Ovis aries: one gene and its partners. The protein of the gene in region 3 interacts with the protein of the main gene of each other region in a pairwise test. Links are inferred from orthologs where the notes say so. Each region holds a gene or a part of one and is shown on either strand. Other genes may lie near its edges. The genes, in order: PDGFRA, FGFR4, MAP2K3 and RASSF1.

Evidence for each region.
Region 1: the proteins of MAP2K3 (region 3) and PDGFRA come close enough for resonance energy transfer, tested with the Homo sapiens proteins (2 studies listed by BioGRID). The link is inferred for Ovis aries from reciprocal best matches to the Homo sapiens genes MAP2K3 and PDGFRA.
Region 2: the proteins of MAP2K3 (region 3) and FGFR4 come close enough for resonance energy transfer, tested with the Homo sapiens proteins (2 studies listed by BioGRID). The link is inferred for Ovis aries from reciprocal best matches to the Homo sapiens genes MAP2K3 and FGFR4.
Region 4: the proteins of MAP2K3 (region 3) and RASSF1 come close enough for resonance energy transfer, tested with the Homo sapiens proteins (2 studies listed by BioGRID). The link is inferred for Ovis aries from reciprocal best matches to the Homo sapiens genes MAP2K3 and RASSF1.

Annotation. Positions count from the first base shown.
Region 1 is NC_056059.1:70,456,137-70,460,210, reverse strand, and holds part of PDGFRA (platelet-derived growth factor receptor alpha), read right to left. Parts: intron 1,488-4,074; coding exon 1,316-1,487; intron 1,224-1,315; coding exon 1,034-1,223; intron 1-1,033. UniProt on the Homo sapiens protein: Tyrosine-protein kinase that acts as a cell-surface receptor for PDGFA, PDGFB and PDGFC and plays an essential role in the regulation of embryonic development, cell proliferation, survival and chemotaxis.
Region 2 is NC_056058.1:36,293,701-36,297,774, forward strand, and holds part of FGFR4 (fibroblast growth factor receptor 4), read left to right. Parts: intron 1-254; coding exon 255-448; intron 449-557; coding exon 558-703; intron 704-788; coding exon 789-910; intron 911-2,102; coding exon 2,103-2,213; intron 2,214-2,301; coding exon 2,302-2,492; intron 2,493-2,833; coding exon 2,834-2,956; intron 2,957-3,038; coding exon 3,039-3,109; intron 3,110-3,319; coding exon 3,320-3,457; intron 3,458-3,706; coding exon 3,707-3,812; intron 3,813-3,918; coding exon 3,919-4,065; 3' UTR 4,066-4,074. UniProt on the Homo sapiens protein: Tyrosine-protein kinase that acts as a cell-surface receptor for fibroblast growth factors and plays a role in the regulation of cell proliferation, differentiation and migration, and in regulation of lipid metabolism, bile acid biosynthesis, glucose uptake, vitamin D metabolism and phosphate homeostasis.
Region 3 is NC_056064.1:35,010,315-35,014,388, reverse strand, and holds part of MAP2K3 (dual specificity mitogen-activated protein kinase kinase 3), read right to left. Parts: intron 3,889-4,074; coding exon 3,761-3,888; intron 3,333-3,760; coding exon 3,255-3,332; intron 1,519-3,254; coding exon 1,379-1,518; intron 362-1,378; coding exon 316-361; intron 1-315. UniProt on the Homo sapiens protein: Dual specificity kinase. Is activated by cytokines and environmental stress in vivo. Catalyzes the concomitant phosphorylation of a threonine and a tyrosine residue in the MAP kinase p38.
Region 4 is NC_056072.1:50,057,529-50,062,096, forward strand, and holds the start of RASSF1 (ras association domain-containing protein 1), read left to right. Parts: upstream 1-1,653; 5' UTR 1,654-1,685; coding exon 1,686-1,935; intron 1,936-3,867; coding exon 3,868-3,974; intron 3,975-4,500; exon of another isoform or gene 4,501-4,557; coding exon of another isoform or gene 4,558-4,568. Other genes in the region: ZMYND10 (zinc finger MYND domain-containing protein 10), read left to right, coding at 1-62, 319-444, 530-651, 769-894, 975-1,050. UniProt on the Homo sapiens protein: Potential tumor suppressor. Required for death receptor-dependent apoptosis. Mediates activation of STK3/MST2 and STK4/MST1 during Fas-induced apoptosis by preventing their dephosphorylation.

The DNA of each region.
Region 1 (4,074 bases), on a different chromosome or scaffold from region 3:
CCTAGTAGAAAGTTAGACACTGTCCACTTTGTGTTCCTACATTTCGTGTCTTTAGAAAGCCTTCCAGATTCAGTATCCCACTTCTATCTCTATCACTATTCCACAGAGGTAGTCACATTCCATTTTCTCAGATGTTGCTTCTCAGTTACACATGGAATTCAGTTCAGAAAGAAGGAAGCAAATCCTGAAATTAAGTGAACTAATGGCAGAGGTTCTATCTTCTCCTCTTTCCTGAAGGCTTGAAATAGAGGATTTTGTCTCCTGCGGAAGGTTTCTGACAAAGATGCAGGGCTGGATTAGCTGAGCCCTTCAAGAGGGATCTTCTGCTCTTGGATTCTAATCAGGTCTTAAAGCTGCAAGAGACCTCAAAATATCATCCAGTTCCTCATCTTGAAGGACATATGGTATTATTAACCCTACATTATAGATGAGGAAACTGAGGCTGAATGGTGACTTACACAAAACTCTACCACTAGTTAAGAGATGACAACAGTCTACAGCTCCTCAAAGAGCAAGGATCCAAACTATCCATTGTACGTTCTGTCCTAACCAAATGTACTCAGACGCTGCTCTTATTTCCCATCAAAGCCTCACTGGGGCAAATGTGTTTCAAATTAAGCCAATGATGTTGTGTTTCATGTAGGCATATGTGATAACTGCCCTGGAAATGGAATCACCATACATGTCTACTTGCCATATGGGTGATGGATATCAAGGAATATATATGAAACCCACATGGGTCCAATTTTGCTTTCTTTCCTCCATCCCTTTCTGAATCCAGGAACATGTCTTTCATTGGGAGCAGAGATTTTTCAGTTCTTTCTTCTCATTTCATTGTTACATACTTACCAACATACTATCACTGCACTGCAACATTATCATGAAATGTACCTAATTTCCAGTATCTCTTTTTCCTGATTGCTAAATTTTCTATATTGACTCTTGTTTGGGGTCATAAGACACACACAAACCTCAGTCTATCTAAGAATGTACAATACAAAGAAAGGCAAACTTGAGAAGGGTGTTTCTTTACCTTATTTCCTGAATCTTCTCTATGTCAGTGGTGATCTCCGTGAGATTCTCAATCAGAGTCAGGTTGTCCTTTAGCCAGGTTATCTTGGGAGGGGGATAGGCCTGCACATCCACCACAAAATGCTTGACTTCATGCAGGTTGACAGCTTCCAACAGGTTAAAGTTGGGTTTGATTTCAATAAATCCTTTCTCTGTACAGGGAAGAGTTTCCATTAAACAATGATCACCTCATGGTGGATCCCGAGCAGCATGGCCGATGGGCATTTTAGGAAGCAGAGTGTACCGTGAACAGAAATGGTGACGTTCCTCATCTTTTTGACCTCCTTGGTGGCCTGGTGGGCAGCACATTGGTAATCTCCACTGTCTTTCACTGTGGCCTCGGGAACCCTCAGAGTGTACACCAACTTGATGGACGGGAACTTGGTTTCCTCCAGCCTCGTGATGCCTTTGCCTTTCTACAGCAGAAGGGGAGGAAAACTGACTTTAACAAGCTGTTTCCTAAGAGGGAACCCCTGTGTAAGTTATGGACCCAGTGATAAAGATGCACCAATGTGGGTTCCTGGATTGTAACAAGTATACCGCATTGTGGGGATATAGATGGGGGAGGCTGCTCCTGTGTTGAGCCCAAGGGGCAATACAGGAAATCTTTGTACTTTTTACTCAGTTTTGCTATGAATTTAAAGCTGCTCTAAAGGGACTTCCCAGGGGGTCCAGTGGCTAAGACTCCACGCTTCCAATGTAGGGGCCTGGGTTCAATCCTTGGTCAGGGAACTAGATCCCACATGCTGCAACTTAAAATTCCACGTGCCGCAACAAAGATCAAAAATCCCGTGTGCCGCAACTAAGACCCAGTGCAGCCAAGTGAATACTTTTTTAAAACTGGTCTAAAAAATAAAGTCTAGAAAAAAATATTTTTAGACATGTTCCTTTGAAAATCTGGTTTTGAAAGGATACTTAATAACATAGTAAGGTGTTTGTGCTATACTGCCACAAGAAAAAAATATATATCAAAGCACTATTTAAAGTATATCTATTAATTATTACATTTATAAAGTATTTAAAAGACTTATCTCCTTTAAATTATAATGGGGATGGTTCTGGGAAGTGGCTTTTCATCTGTTTTTCTAAATTTTAAAGTTATAATAAGCCTGCATTTTTTAAAAAAATATCAAACAAAAACTATGATTTATAAACCAATACGTTGATTATCTATTGGGGGGCCAAACAGCACATAGTTTGGTTTTGAGGGAAAAAATTATCTCCAATAAATGAAAGGAAGCATTTATGTTTTATGGATTAAAGGCATCAGATATGGGCTTCCTTGGTGGCCCAGCGGTTAGGAATCCACCTGCCAGACTTGCCTGGTGATACAGTTGATGAGAGTCCGCCTGGCAAATCAGGGGACACAGGTTTGGTCCCTGGTCCAGGAAGATTCCACGTGCCATGGAGCAACTAAGCCCACGTGCCACACCACTGAGCCCAGGCTCTACAGCCCAGGCGCTGCAGCTACTGAAGCCCTCGAGCCTTAGAGCCTGTGCTCAGAAACAAAAGCCACCACAATGAAAGGCCCGTACACTGCAACGAAGAGTAGCCCCTACTTGCAGCAACTAGAGAAAGCCTGCGCAAAGTAATGAGGACCCAGCATGGGCATAAATGTAAACATAATTAGAAAAAAAAAAAAAAAAAGAATCCACCTGCAAGGCAGGGGACATAGGTTTGACCCCTGGTCTGGGAAGATCCCACATGCCCCAGGGCAACTAAGACCACAAGCTGCAACTACTGCAGCCCTTGAGCCTGGAGCCCATGCTCTGACACAGGAGAAGCCACTGCAATGAGAAGCTCTCACAATGCAACTCAGAGAAGCCCCCACTCTCCCCAGTTAGAGAAAGCTGGAGCGCAGCAACAAAGACTCAAAGCAGCCATAAGTAAACAAACAAATGAAACTTTAAAAAAAAGTTTCTATAAAAAACAAAAATAAAGGCAATCAAGTATGAACAGAAATATCAGATAGCTTTACATTTGGGGGAAGATGTATACCTATTGGTCTACGAATGTCTCTTCAGTACATGAGGTTATAGGGCAATATGTGAAAATGTTCAAGTTTCAGTCAAGACGCCCCAGGGAGAAAGGAAAGGGGCAGCAAAGCATGGGGGAGAGAAATGGAAAAAAGGAGAGATACTATCAGATGCCAAAAAAAGAGCAAGGAGCATAAATTTGCAAACTAGGAGTGAAGGGGAGAAGACCATATATATATATACACATATATGTTTATATGTGTGTTTGTGTATATATATATATTTATACACAGATGGTTTTTGTGCACTGTTAAATGGTTTCTACGTGGGACCATCACAGCCTTTCACACACAGTTCATACACACTTACCATGATATGTTAGAATGAATGAGAACTGGACTTAACATACACACACCAATACATATAAAATAGGGAAACAAGAGGGACCTACTATATAGCACAGGGAACTATACTCAGTCTTTTGTGATAATCTATAATAAAAAAGAATCTGAAAAAGAATATATATATTTATATAACTGAATTACTTTGCTGTACACCTGAAACTAACACAACTTTGTAAATTAAATATACATCAATAAAATAAAAAAAAAGAATGAATGATACCCTATGTGAAAATTCCCAGGGACCAGAGATGACACAGTGGCTCCCCTTCCCCATCTCCACTCCTCCCTTCTTCTTTCTGTGGATGAGCCAGCTTCCACCAGAGTGCTTGGGATTCAGCAAACATCACTAAATCTTTACTGAATGATTCAAGTTATGCCTGTTCACTGAAGGAAAGTTATGCATAGAAAAACCAGGCAGGAATTCCCAGGCAGTCCAGTGGTTAGGAATCTGTGCTTCCACTGCTAGGGGCCTGGGTTCGAGGCTGCGAGGTACAGTCAAAATAAATAAACAAATGAACTTTTTATAGAGGAATTTCCCTGGTGGTCCAGTGGCTAAGACTCTGTGCTCCCAATGCAGGGGGCCCAGGCTGGATCCTGGTCAGGGAACTAGATCCCACATGCTG
Region 2 (4,074 bases), on a different chromosome or scaffold from region 3:
TACTGGAGTAGGTTGCCATGCCCTCCTCCAGGGGACCTTCCCAACCCAGGGATCGAAGCCAGGTCTCCCACACTGCAAGTGGATTCTATATTGTCTAAGCCACCAAGGAAGTCTGTGGGTACGCAGTGCAGTTTTACTGGTGTGTGTCTCTCTGTGTGAGGAGCTACAAGGGCTTCAGTGAGACGGGGTGGGGCCAGCCATCTGACTGCTGACTGACCAATCAGTTTCTGTCTGTGTGTCCCCCCTGTGCGCAGAGGAGGATCTCACGTGGACAGCAACAGCACCCGAAGGCAGGTACACGGACATCATCCTGTACTCGTCAGGCTCTCTGGCTTTGATCGTGTTCCTGCTGCTGGTCGGGCTATATCGCAGGCAGACGCTCCTCACCCGACACCACCGACAGCCCGCCACCGTGCAGAAGTTATCTCGCTTCCCTCTGGCCCGACAGGTATCCAGCGTGCTGTCCCCCGCCTCCGTGTTCCCATAGCAAAGGCTCAGGGCCTGCGTTCCCACCCCAGCTCAGCTTCAGCAGACCGACCAAGTCTCTCACTTTGCAGTTCTCGCTGGAGTCAGGCTCCTCAGCCAAGTCAAGCTTGTCCCTGGTGCGGGGTGTCCGTCTCTCCTCCAGCGGCCCCCCCTTGCTCGCTGGCCTCGTGAGTCTCGACCTGCCTCTTGACCCACTGTGGGAGTTCCCCCGCGACAGGTATGCCGTGCCGAGTGAGCGTGGGGATCAGACCCTGTGCAGGAGTGATGCCCAGTGGCTGAGGCCTTGTCTCTCTCATCTTCAGGCTGGTGCTGGGAAAGCCCCTGGGCGAGGGCTGCTTTGGGCAGGTGGTATGTGCAGAGGCCTTCGGCATGGACCCCACCCGGCCGGACCAAGCCAGCACCGTGGCCGTCAAGATGCTTAAGGGTGAGTGTGGCGGCTTGTGGGAGATCCTATGACCTGGAAAGTAACAGACAGGGCTCAGGGTGCTAGTGGCTGAGGACCAGGAAAGGCTGTCATTCCCCCGACTCCTTGGGCCCAAATGTGCCACCGATCCTGGCAAGTCATTTCTGAGCTTCGATTTCCTCACAGGTCACATGGGATAAATAACAGTCCCCGCCTCCCAGCCTGAGGTTGGTGGAAAATGACACCTAAAATCTTTACTACTGGGGTGATGGTGACCACAAGAGTTTAGGGTGATAGGTCTGCTACCCTGTGTCAGCTTTGACCTCAAATAACCTTATTAGCCTTGAAGGCCTCCACCTCAACCCCATGATTTCCCCCCGAGATTGCACCCTCGGTCTCCCCCAGGTCCTTCCCAGATCTCCCCCTGTGTCTACCACTCTTTCAGAGAACAGCCCAAGCAGCAGCCCCAGGAGGCTCAGGACACCCGGGTGGGACCCACCATCGAGGCCTCTCGCTGCTATTCCCCAGCCCCTTCTACAAAAGCAGCCCAAACCGCTGTTCCACTCCCGCCAGCCCCTCCTTTCTGCACAGCTGGGGCCACCTGGCGCTTTCTGGGAGGCAAGGATTGAGAAATGTGCATTGTGAGGTCTGCCGGGGAGAGTAAGTCATTGGCCCAGGGCCACAGGTCAGCCCCAGGGGCTCAGCCCCGGGTCCTTAGCCTTCTCAAGAGAAACTAGAGCAGCTTCTTCCTGGCCTCCCCTGGCTGCGCTCTACCAGCAGCTCCCTGAACTCCCAGGCCAGATGGACGCCAGGCCCTGGTCAGACAGACCTCAGGGCGCCAGCCCACTTCCCGCCCCCAAGAGCTCCCACCCCATTTGGGGACTAATGCCAAGTCCTCCAGACGGAGCTTCCTTCCTATTCAGAGCGCTTTCCCCGTCCTCCTTTTTCCTGGTTGCACTCACTGGCAGGCCTAGCACTTTTAGATCCTGATCTTGTCGCATCCTTGCAACTGTTATGAGAGTAGGGCATAATCCATCATCCCATTTCATACAAGATGATCCTGAGGTTCAGAGAAGTTAAGAGACTCTTTCAAGGCCACACAGCCTAGCAGGGATTCAGGCCCAGACCTTCCTGGCACGGAATTTAGGGCTCCACGTCCTGTCCCCAACCCAAAGCCTCCCTTGTGTAATCACCCTGGCTGTCATCCTCACAGACAACGCCTCCGACAAGGACTTGGCAGACCTGGTCTCTGAGATGGAGGTGATGAAGCTGATTGGCCGACACAAGAACATTATCAACCTGCTGGGTGTCTGCACCCAGGAAGGTGGGAGCGGGGCGGGGTGAGGGGCGGGGATGGTGGGGGCATGGAGCCACATCCGTGTCAGCTTCCCTGTCACCCCTCTCCTCTGCAGGGCCCTTGTACGTGATTGTGGAGTGTGCTGCCAAGGGCAACCTGCGGGAGTTCCTGCGGGCCCGCCGACCCCCAGGCCCTGACCTCAGCCCTGACGGGCCTCGGAGCAGCGAAGGGCCGCTCTCCTTCCCTGCCCTGGTCTCCTGCGCCTACCAGGTGGCCCGGGGCATGCAGTACCTTGAGTCCCGGAAGGTAATGACCCATCCCCGCACTTTCAGGCCTTGTGTTAAATGCCACCAACTTCTCCCTCTCCTCTTTTCCCTTACTGTAAGTGTCCTTGAGTCCTTCTGTACTGCCTCATCTACACGCAGTTAACACTGCATCTTCCCATTCCTTCCTCTCCCACAGGCAGGAAGAGGTGGTGCAAGAGACAAGGTGTGGGCCCTGAAGTTAGTTGGCTTACATTTCCCCTCTCTCAACTTCCCCATCTGTAAAATGGGTGGATGATTCCCACTCGTCGGGTTGCTGTGAGGTCACCTGTGCCCAGTTCCCAGCCATGTGTCCTCAATCTAAGACCTCTGCCCCACCCCCAGTGCATCCACCGGGACCTGGCTGCCCGCAATGTGCTGGTGACCGAGGACAACGTGATGAAGATTGCAGACTTCGGGCTGGCCCGTGGCATCCACCACATTGATTACTACAAGAAAACTAGCAACGTAAGGGAGGCGGGGCGCAGCTGATTGGGGCCAGGCACTGGGACCCGTGGCCCTTGGCAGCAGTGTGCCCTCTTCCCTCCAGGGCCGCCTGCCTGTCAAGTGGATGGCACCAGAGGCCTTGTTTGACAGAGTCTACACGCACCAGAGTGATGTGTGAGTCCTGGAAGCTGGGGCCCGGGATGTAACTGCAGGCAACCTTTGTCCTTCTAAAGCCCTTGCCCTGGGTCTGAGTGGGACCAGACTCTAAAAGAAGTCCTTATTCCCACCCCCATGGTGGATCATAGTTGTGGGGTCCCCTATCCTAGCCGCAAGGTTAGGGAGTGAAGCTGTACCCTGCTGAGCCTGGGTTCTGCCTCCATCCAGGTGGTCGTTTGGAATCCTGCTGTGGGAGATCTTCACCCTCGGGGGCTCCCCATACCCTGGCATCCCCGTGGAGGAGCTGTTCTCGCTGCTACGAGAGGGGCATCGGATGGACCGGCCCCCACACTGCCCCCCGGAGCTGTGAGTCCTCACCCCACTCTCCCTCACTTTTCAGTCCTCATTCTCTGTCCTAACCCTGGCCTCATGGTCCAGTCATACAGAGTGGTCAGCTCTCACTCATGGTCACCCCCTCCTCAGCCCGGCTGGGAAGGCTTGGCAGGGTACTCTTTTGCTGAATGGCCTCGCCTCGCATCAAACCCTCCTGCCCCTTCGCCACACCCCCTCACCCAGGCCCTAGGCTCCTTCTGACCCTCCCCGCTCCTCCCCCAGGTACGGGCTGATGCGTGAGTGCTGGCACGCAGCACCCTCTCAGAGGCCCACTTTCAAGCAACTGGTGGAGGCGCTGGACAAGGTCCTGCTGGCTGTCTCTGAGGAGGTACTGCGCCCCTATGGTCCCAGGACCGTCCCACACCCCCATGCCCACTGCCCTCTGGGCCTCATCCCACCTGACCACCAGGGCTGACCAACCCTGTTCCCCACAGTACCTCGACCTCCGCCTAACCTTTGGACCCTACTCCCCTGCCGGCGGGGACGCCAGCAGCACCTGCTCCTCTAGCGACTCTGTCTTCAGCCACGACCCCCTACCACTGAGGCCCAGCTCCTTCTCCTTCCCTGGGGGGCAGACGTGAGCAGGGGCA
Region 3 (4,074 bases):
CTCTGCCCACAATGGGCCTTCCACGTGGAGTGCCCTCTCCATCAGAGAGAAGACCCTCATTCATCCTTCGAGGCCCACTTCCCCTGCAAAACCTCCCGACACCTCCAAGTAAAATGGCCCACCTGCCCTGCTGGCCCTCTGCCCCACTCCAAGGGCCTGGCATGAAGGGTGAAAGAGGGAGCCGGAGGACACAGTGAATGAGAGAATGAGCGACAAAGTCCCTCGAAGAATCATGAATGCAGAGGCAAGCCGGAGGAGCTGCCCACCGCTGTGCATAGAGGCAGCCCTCTCCCAGAGAGCCCCACCCGCACTCACCATCAGCTCCAGGTAGCTCATGCGTTCCGCGGGGTTCTTTCTCAGGCTAGGAGAGAACAGGGTAGGCTGGGGCCAGGATGGCAGGGAAGCGAATCCAGCCCATCCAGGCCAGTCAAGTCAGGCTGGGCTTGGCCCTGCCCAAGCAGCAAGGGGACACACATGCTCCCGAGGCTCAGGAAAGAAAGGGCTGAACTGTCCTGGGGGCTTCCAAGGGCAGAGTGGGATCCGTGGTGCCCACCAGAGAGACTGGACCAATAGTGACCTAGGAGATTTCCAACGATCCCAACACTAACATGCTACCACTAACCATCATATGCTTGGTGTCCTTAATCGAGAGAGGAAGCTCCTTACCATGGGTCCTGGGAGAGAATGATCCTGCCTGCCAGGCGCACCTGTTTTAAGACTTTCTTCTTTTCCAGTGAACGAAAGAAAGGCTGTGAATTCTCCCTTGAGCGTCTCTCCGGCCACAGCACATAGCTGTTGGTATGTTAGATTCTCAAGTCTTCACTTCTCACTACTTTATGATTGTATGTTTTAGATCTCTCTTATAACCCAAGAGTATACTAGAAGAATTTACTTTTAATTTCCTTGTAGCTTTTTTTCTCCATAGTTATGTATTTCCTGTTCCATCTAATTCCAGTCAGAGAATGTGGCCTATAAGACTCTGCCTCCTGCCTTTTCCCTTATTTCCTCTGTAATCTCAAACATAATTAATCTTTACAAGGATCTTGTGGGCATTCTTTAATGTGATACAAAATTCTACACATCAACAAAAGCAAATTTACTGTGTATTTAAATCCTCCATATACTCTTCATTTTCTTTTTTGATCTATGTGATCTGTCCGTTTCTAGAGGAACCGTATTAAAAACTCCTCCCAGGACCATAGCTTGTCAAATTATCCTTATACTCTAACTATTTCTGCCTTCTATTTTGATGCTGTTATTGGGGTTTGTCTGCTCAAAAAGGAGACCGGGCCCAGGGAGGACGGGATCTGGCCGGGGCAGGGAGGGGCACTGACTGGGCTCAGGGAGGCCCTCAGGTCTGAGCAGGGCTGAGACTCACCACTGCGCAGTGAAGTCCACAAAGTCAGGGGAGAAACGGTCAGCTGGGAGCTGGGGGGACGGCTCTTCTACCACCTGCTTCAGCTGCTGGAAGGGGGTCCCCCAGGACTCGTAAGGAAATCGCAGAATGGCCATCTCGATCTGCAGTGGAGATAGCACCCCTGGGTCAGAGACACCCACGCTCTGCACACGGAAGCAAAGCCTTCAAAGATCCTGCCTGTCCTGGTCCAGCATCCAGAGCTGGGCTGTGAGGCAGGTCAAGGGGCTGACAGGTGACATCAGTCCAAAGATGAAAGCCAAGGGGACAGAGGAGTTGGTTCTGTCCCAGCCAGCAAAGACTGTAGCTCATGATACACATTCAACCCTGGGTTTTGACTGGCTTGGCTATCGGGTTTTCAAACAATCTGAATTCAGAAGGTTTTGCATTAAAACCCAGGTTCCAGTTAACCTGGAAAAATCAGAGGGCTGGCAGCCTGGGGTGCTCCCGATAAGGCCACTGTCACCAAAGAGCCTGAGAAGAGTGATCAGCTTCGAAGTTCCCCACAGACCACTCCCTCCTCCCTAATGTCTCAGCAACACCTTAGCTTCTGCTGCCGTTTATGTGGGCTGTTGTTATTAGCGAAAAGGCAAGCAGGAAATGAAATGATTTTCATGAGCTTCAGGAGGAATGTTAGACTAAGAGGTTCATCTCCTGGACTGTGCAGCAATCCACCAGGCCCCATTAGGAAATGAAGTCCGCAGCCCTTCCTCCTCCACAAAGCCCCCACCACCCAGCCACCAACACCTGTAAGCCCATGTCCAACGCTTCCGCCTCCAGGAAGCCTTTCCACTCGGATGCTGTCACTGTTTCTCTCCGACTCCCTGGACACAGGGCTGCCACGGCCTCACCGCTTCCACCAGACCCAGATCCCCCTGTGCCCCGCGCCTCGCCTGCAGGAGCCATCTGTAGCAAAGAATGGCTGTCTCACCACAACCTCTGCTTCCAGTTTTGACTACTGACATGAAAATTCAAGTCCACTTCCCTGAGAAGCGATCACCACTGACATGAAAATTCAAGTCCACTACCCTGACAAGCGATCACCGTAATAAACAGGAGAGACCTCGTCTCAAGCAGACACACCAAAACAGGTCACTAGTTGTGCTCAGAAAGGACCTTCTCATCAGGCCCCAGGCTCCTTTCCAGCCAAGACACAAACAGGCCCACAGATGGAGGTGACACAGTGTGGCGGGAACGGCTATGACCCTGGATTTTCATAGGGCAAAGACAGCCTCCTTTTTTTCCTATAGTTTCCACTGACTCCGGCACACAGGAGTGAGGACCCTGCCTGGGCTGCAGAGAAGGATGCAGTGGCCACCAGAGCTCAAGAACAAAAACAGAGAAGTGTCCAAACCTTGGACCTAGTCATTCCTCTCCTGGTAATTTTTTCTAAAAGAGCTCAAAAAATGAAAACATAAGCAGCCTCTGGGCACAGAGACACATACTACAGCATTATCTGTGGGAGTAAACGTGGAGAAGCAGCAAGAACGAGCAGGGCAAGGCTGAGCCTCGCCACTGTCGTGAAGCCCTCGTGCACAAGGAGCCAGTTGGTCTTGGGCTGGCTGTGCATTCTCAGTGAGCACGAGCCCTGAGGAAGTCCAACAGGCAAGTGGTCACAGACGAGAGCGGCATAACGCTGCCCTAACCCAGGGAGGGCGTGAGGCACCTGCGGACACTCTGCTAAGGACCCCATAATCTTTGATGGCACTGTCTCTTCTCACATCGTGAAGCCAACCAACCCTTCTGTCCAGGCTAGACTATCTGGCCCCCAGAAGCTCACAGACCTGGCACAGCCCCCACCTGTGCTCCACCCGACCAGCAAGGGTGCCCCAGGACGTACCATGGTGATGCCGAGGCTCCAGACATCAGACTTGACATTGTAGCCTTTCTGGTTCAGCTCTGGGTTGATTCTCTCGGGCTGGAAGAGGAGCCAGAGCAGGGTCACCCAGGCCCCCTCAGCTGGGTCTGGTTGCCCCCCACAAAACGTAGGGGCCAGTGCTCACCCATCCTACCTCCCCCAGAGCAAGTGTGGAAGCTGAGGCTGGTGAGGGCCGGGGTCTCGAGGTGGAAGCCTAAGTCTTGCCACACAGCTGCCACACCTGGGGGTCTCACCTTGGGGTATCAGCAACTCCCACAGGCCCCACCAGCCACCCCGCTGAGGTGAAACCTATCATCCAAATGGACACGGTGGGGCCAGTCAGAAAGGGGTGGAGAGGGCTGAGCAGGAGACTCCCTCTAGAAGGAAATTCGGGGTCTGGGGAGGCCTCATTCCTGATGGAGCAGGACACAGCTAAGGTGCCTGAGCCTGGCTGTTTCCTCTGGGCATGACCTGGGCACCCCACTTACGGCCATGTAGGGTTTGCAGCCAGCATCCATTGTCTTAGCCACAGAATCCACCAAGTAACCACTGATCCCAAAGTCACACATCTTCACGTGGCCCTCCTTGTTGATAAGGACATTGGATGGCTTCACATCTGCCAGAAGTAGGACACGCCTTTCAGCTACTGGTTGTTGGCCCCCACTGCCCAGGTCAGAGCTGGTAGCCACACAGTCAGGAGCCCCAGCCTCCAGCCACAGGTGGGGAGAGAAGTTAGCTCCAGGGCTTCCCCCAGGACCGTGTCTTTGCAGCTTCACAGTTGGGACTCAGCCTCCACTTACCA
Region 4 (4,568 bases), on a different chromosome or scaffold from region 3:
TAAGCCCTGAGGCCCGGGCCCGCTACTGCCTCACAAGCTTTGCCAAAGGACAGCTACTCAAGGTAGGGAACTCCTCCTACCTGAGTGTCCACAGCCCCTGCCCTGCCCTAGGTCACCCTTGATGTTTATTTTTGCCCGCCCACCTCAGCCGCAGCCCTGTCTCCACACCTTGGGCCTCAGGTGATAACAGCAGCTAGTGGGACCTGGGTCCCACTGGCACCCTCAGCCCAGCCCAGCCCAGCCCAGCCCAGGCCCTGTCTGTTCCTCCACCCTCTGGTCAGCACCACCTCACACTGCCTCCCCTGGACACCCTTGCAGCTTCGGGCCTTCCTCACAGACACACTGCTCGACCAGCTGCCCAACCTGTCAGACCTGCAGGGTTTCCTGGCTCACCTGGCCCTGACCGAAGCCCAGCCCCCTAAGAAGGACCTGGTGTTGGAACAGGTAGGCTCTTGGAAGTTAGTTGGTCAGGACCACTGCTCACTTGACCAGCTCTTCCTCCCTGCCACTCTCTGCTTCTCTTCCCCAGATCCCAGAAATCTGGGAGCGGCTAGAGCGAGAGAACAAAGGCAAGTGGCAGGCTATCGCCAAGCATCAGCTGCGGCATGTATTTAGCCCCTCGGAACAGGACCTGAGGCTGCAGGCGCGAAGGTGAGGCCTGCTAAGCCAGCAGAAGAGGAGAAGGGAGGCAGCGGCGTGGATGTGGGTGGGGTTGCCCCTGTCCCCCCACCCACAGGTCCAGCAAGTCCTTCCGGACCCTTTTTCCAGGTGGGCTGAGACCTACAGGCTGGATGTGCTCGAGGCAGTGGCTCCAGAGCGGCCCCGCTGTGCCTACTGCAGTGCAGAGGCCTCCAAGCGTTGCTCCCGGTGCCAGAATGAGTGGTATTGCTGCAGGTGAGGGCATCCTAGGACCTTGGACCCCCATTCCCATACCCCTCGGATCACTGCATCTTCACCGGCCCATTTGCCTGCAGGGAGTGCCAAGTCAAGCACTGGGAGAAGCATGGAAAGGCTTGTGTCCTGGCAGCCCAGGGGGACAGAGCCAAGTGAAGGCTGCAGCGGCTGAGGGCCAACCACCCGTGCCTACAACCCACTCAAGTGTCCCCCCAAAACCTCTGGATCTCAATCTGGCCTCTGCAAGTGCCCCAGCCTCCCGGGTGGTGAGGATAGCAGGCGGGAAGAGCTGTTGACCCATCTCCCCCCATCTAAGCGCTCCCCACTTCCTGCTCTATCAGGCGCGAAGGCTTAGGGTGCAGCCTCCCCAAGCTGGGGCAGGAGGCCTGGGCGGGGGGCGGGGGGGAGGGGACAAGGGCCGGATGTGGGGACCCTCTTCCTCTAGTACTGTAAAGTAAAGCTAGCTTCCACAAACACGCCTGTTTCCTCGTGGCCCCTTGAGGTCGTCGTGGTTGTTAAGAGGAGGGGAGTGGCTCGCGGGATGAAGGGAGGATAGGAAACGGAGGGCGGGGACTCTGAGAGAGCAGCCCCCAGCCGCACCCGCCGTCCCACTCCGCCTGCGGGCCGACACAGCGCGGGCGCCCAGGTTTCCATTGCGCGGCTCTCCTCTGCTCTCCCGCCGCTCTGCCTGAATCCTGGAGGCGGCGCCGAATCGGGGCCCGCCCCGCGGCCCCGCCCGCCCCGCGCTCGCTAGCGCCCAGAACCGGCCGGAGACCCGGCCCGACCGGGCCATGTCCGCTGAGCCTGAGCTCATTGAATTGCGGGAACTGGCACCCGAACGGTGCGCCGCCCCGGGGCGCACTCGGCTCGAGCGTGCCAATGCATTGCGCATCTCGCCGGGCACAGCTCGCAACGCCGCAAGGCAGCAGGTCCCGGGCCGGGGCCACCGCTTCCAGCCGGCGGGGCCCGCCACGCACACGTGGTGTGACCTGTGTGGCGACTTCATCTGGGGCGTCGTGCGCAAGGGTCTGCAGTGCGCGCGTGAGTAGCGGACCCAAGAGCTGGCGGGAGCGAAACGGGCAGCCAAGGGACAGCCCCGTCGCTGAGGGCCAAGTTGCGATGGAGGGGGTCAGGGGGGACAGTTCCCACAGACCAGGTCTGTAACCTTTGCCCCATAGCACAAGAGAGTGCGGGCTGATAGTTTATAACCTTGCCAAGCTCCACCTGCCTCTGAGACAGTTAGGCAAACGTGCTTCTCTGTAAACAAGGTACTACTTTCAAGTTTAACCAGTGCCTTGGCCCTTCTTGAGAAAGGCTTGTTCCTGTCAGTCTCTGGACTCACATTCTTACACTTACCCCTTTGGAAAGATTCACTTGCCAAGTCCCCCAGGAGAATCCCTGTGGTGAAGGGAACTTACCCACCTATGGGAGAAGGCCTGGAAATAGAAACTTGGGCACAGGGCTACAAGCAGGAGTTTTGAGTCTGTCTTTAGCAAATACCTATTGGAAGTTCAGTCAGCCAGCTGCTAAAACATGAAACGCAACCACACGCCAGTTGGTGCTTCTGCCCTCCCAGAAATCACCAGCAAGCTGAGGTTGCTGTCTCACTGGCCATACACCATCTAGAAACACTTGGGATGCTTTTATAGCCCTCCAAACCTCTACCCTTGGATCTTACTGCAGACCTGTTGAATCAGTCAGGTCACTGAGAGTGTACCAGCGATTTTTAAAAACAGGTCATTCTAATGTGTAGCCTGGGTGGAGAATCACTGCTCTGGCCCATTTAGGAACTTAGGGAAGATGTCCCAAGCCTGTGTGTGATGGAGACCCTCTCATCTAGTACAGGAGTTTGTCTTTATTCAGCTAGGACGAGTATGGGACTTGTGGCAGCATACAAAAAGCATGAACAAGGGCTGGGAAGATAGCAGTGTTCCCAAGGAGAAATAAAGTGGCCATGGGAATGAAAAACAGGACAATTTGGGTGTGTGTCAGAAGCAGAAACAAGAGAGGCATCAAGGATGAGTTGGGGTGGTTTGGTCTGGTTTTTGTTTTTTGCTGAGTTGAACTCTGGCAAGGGCAAGGGTGAGGAGAAGTGAAGAATTAAAAGGAGTAGGAAAGTGAGTTAAATGTTGGCCATGTCTGGTTGAATTGTTTATTGGACAGCCAAATGAAGATACTGACACAGAATTTGATCTCAAGGAGGTCAGATGGAAGCCTTGGATCTAAGGTAGGTCAGTGTACACAGAGAAGAAAAGCGATCAGGACTGGGCCTCGGACTCTCCACCATTAGATCTGGAAGCTGAAACAGAACTAAAGCCCCCTGAACAGGGATTACAGTGAGGTGGGAGGAAAACCGCGGTAGTGAGGGCCCCCGGGGAATCCGGAGAGCAAGCATCAGACGATGCTGAAGAGGTGAAGGGACCACCGCATTCCGCGGTTCGGTCTCTGAGTTCCCTGGAGGGAGGAGAGCAAGACTGGAATGGGTAGAGGATGAAGGCGAGGAATTAAGTAAGAGACCAGTGTTGGTAAGTTTTGTGTGTAAGGGGAATAGAGAAAAATGACACGAAGAGGCACTGAGTTAAAAGTTTTTTTGTTTCCCCCTCCAGTAAATGGGAGGAGGGAGGGACGCTGATAATGAGGAAGGGGAAGTTCTGCCCTAGGCGCTAGAAATCCAACTGTTGAGCAGGCCTGGATCCCTAACAGCATGAAGTCTTCCCTGCCAGTTTCCAGGCCCGGGGCGGGGGGGGGGGGGGGGGGGGGGGGGGGGGGGGGGGGACAGAACGGGGAGGCGCGGCGGCAGGGGAGACTCTAAAATCTGAGTGGCAGTGGGTGTTAACGGGGACTAAGATAAGGCCAGTCATGGAGAACACGACGAGCAACGGCCTTCATCCCGGGGCTTCGCTTCTGTCCCCGGGACGCTCCTCCGAGCTGGTTGCTGGGGTTCCTCCACCTTATGGCCAGGCCTCTCTGCAGATTGCAAGTTCACCTGCCACTACCGCTGCCGCGCGCTCGTCTCCCTAGACTGCTGCGGGCCCCGGGACCTGGGCTGGGAACCGGCGCTGGAGCGGGACACGAATGTGGTGAGCGCGGGACCGGGGAGCTTACGGGCAACGCAGGGATGCGTGGACGAGCGGGGCCACATTGGAGGCGTTCCCTAGGGCCGCCCGGCGCTACGCGCAATAAACGTTTTGATAGCCGACTTCCCGGAGGCAGAGAGTGGCTAATTCTGCGCGCGGGCTCCAAGGGGTGCCGGGGGGTGCTGACTCGGCCCTAACCGCCCGGAGCCGCCCAGACTGCGCGCAAGTGCAACTTCCGCACCTTCCCGCAGCTGCATCCGGCCTCGAGGCCACGCTGGTGCACACGCGCACAAGCCCCATAGTGTCCCTTGGGAGGCGGGGCCTGCGAGACTGCGCTGAACTGAGCTGCCCCAGGGCTGAGATCATTCTTGGAGGCGAGGCGTGTGTGACCCCGCCCTTCGACATCCCTCCTCCAATGAGATGACAGCTATGTCTTGGCTGTCTACGTTTCAGTGTTAACGGTTGCGGCTCGGACACTGGTTCCTGCGCACGCACACTCATATACGGGCGCGCACGCGCACACGCGTTTGGGGCGGTGGTGGGAGTCTACCGGTGCACCGGGGCTGGTGGGCTGGCTGGCGCGGCGATGGGTGAGGC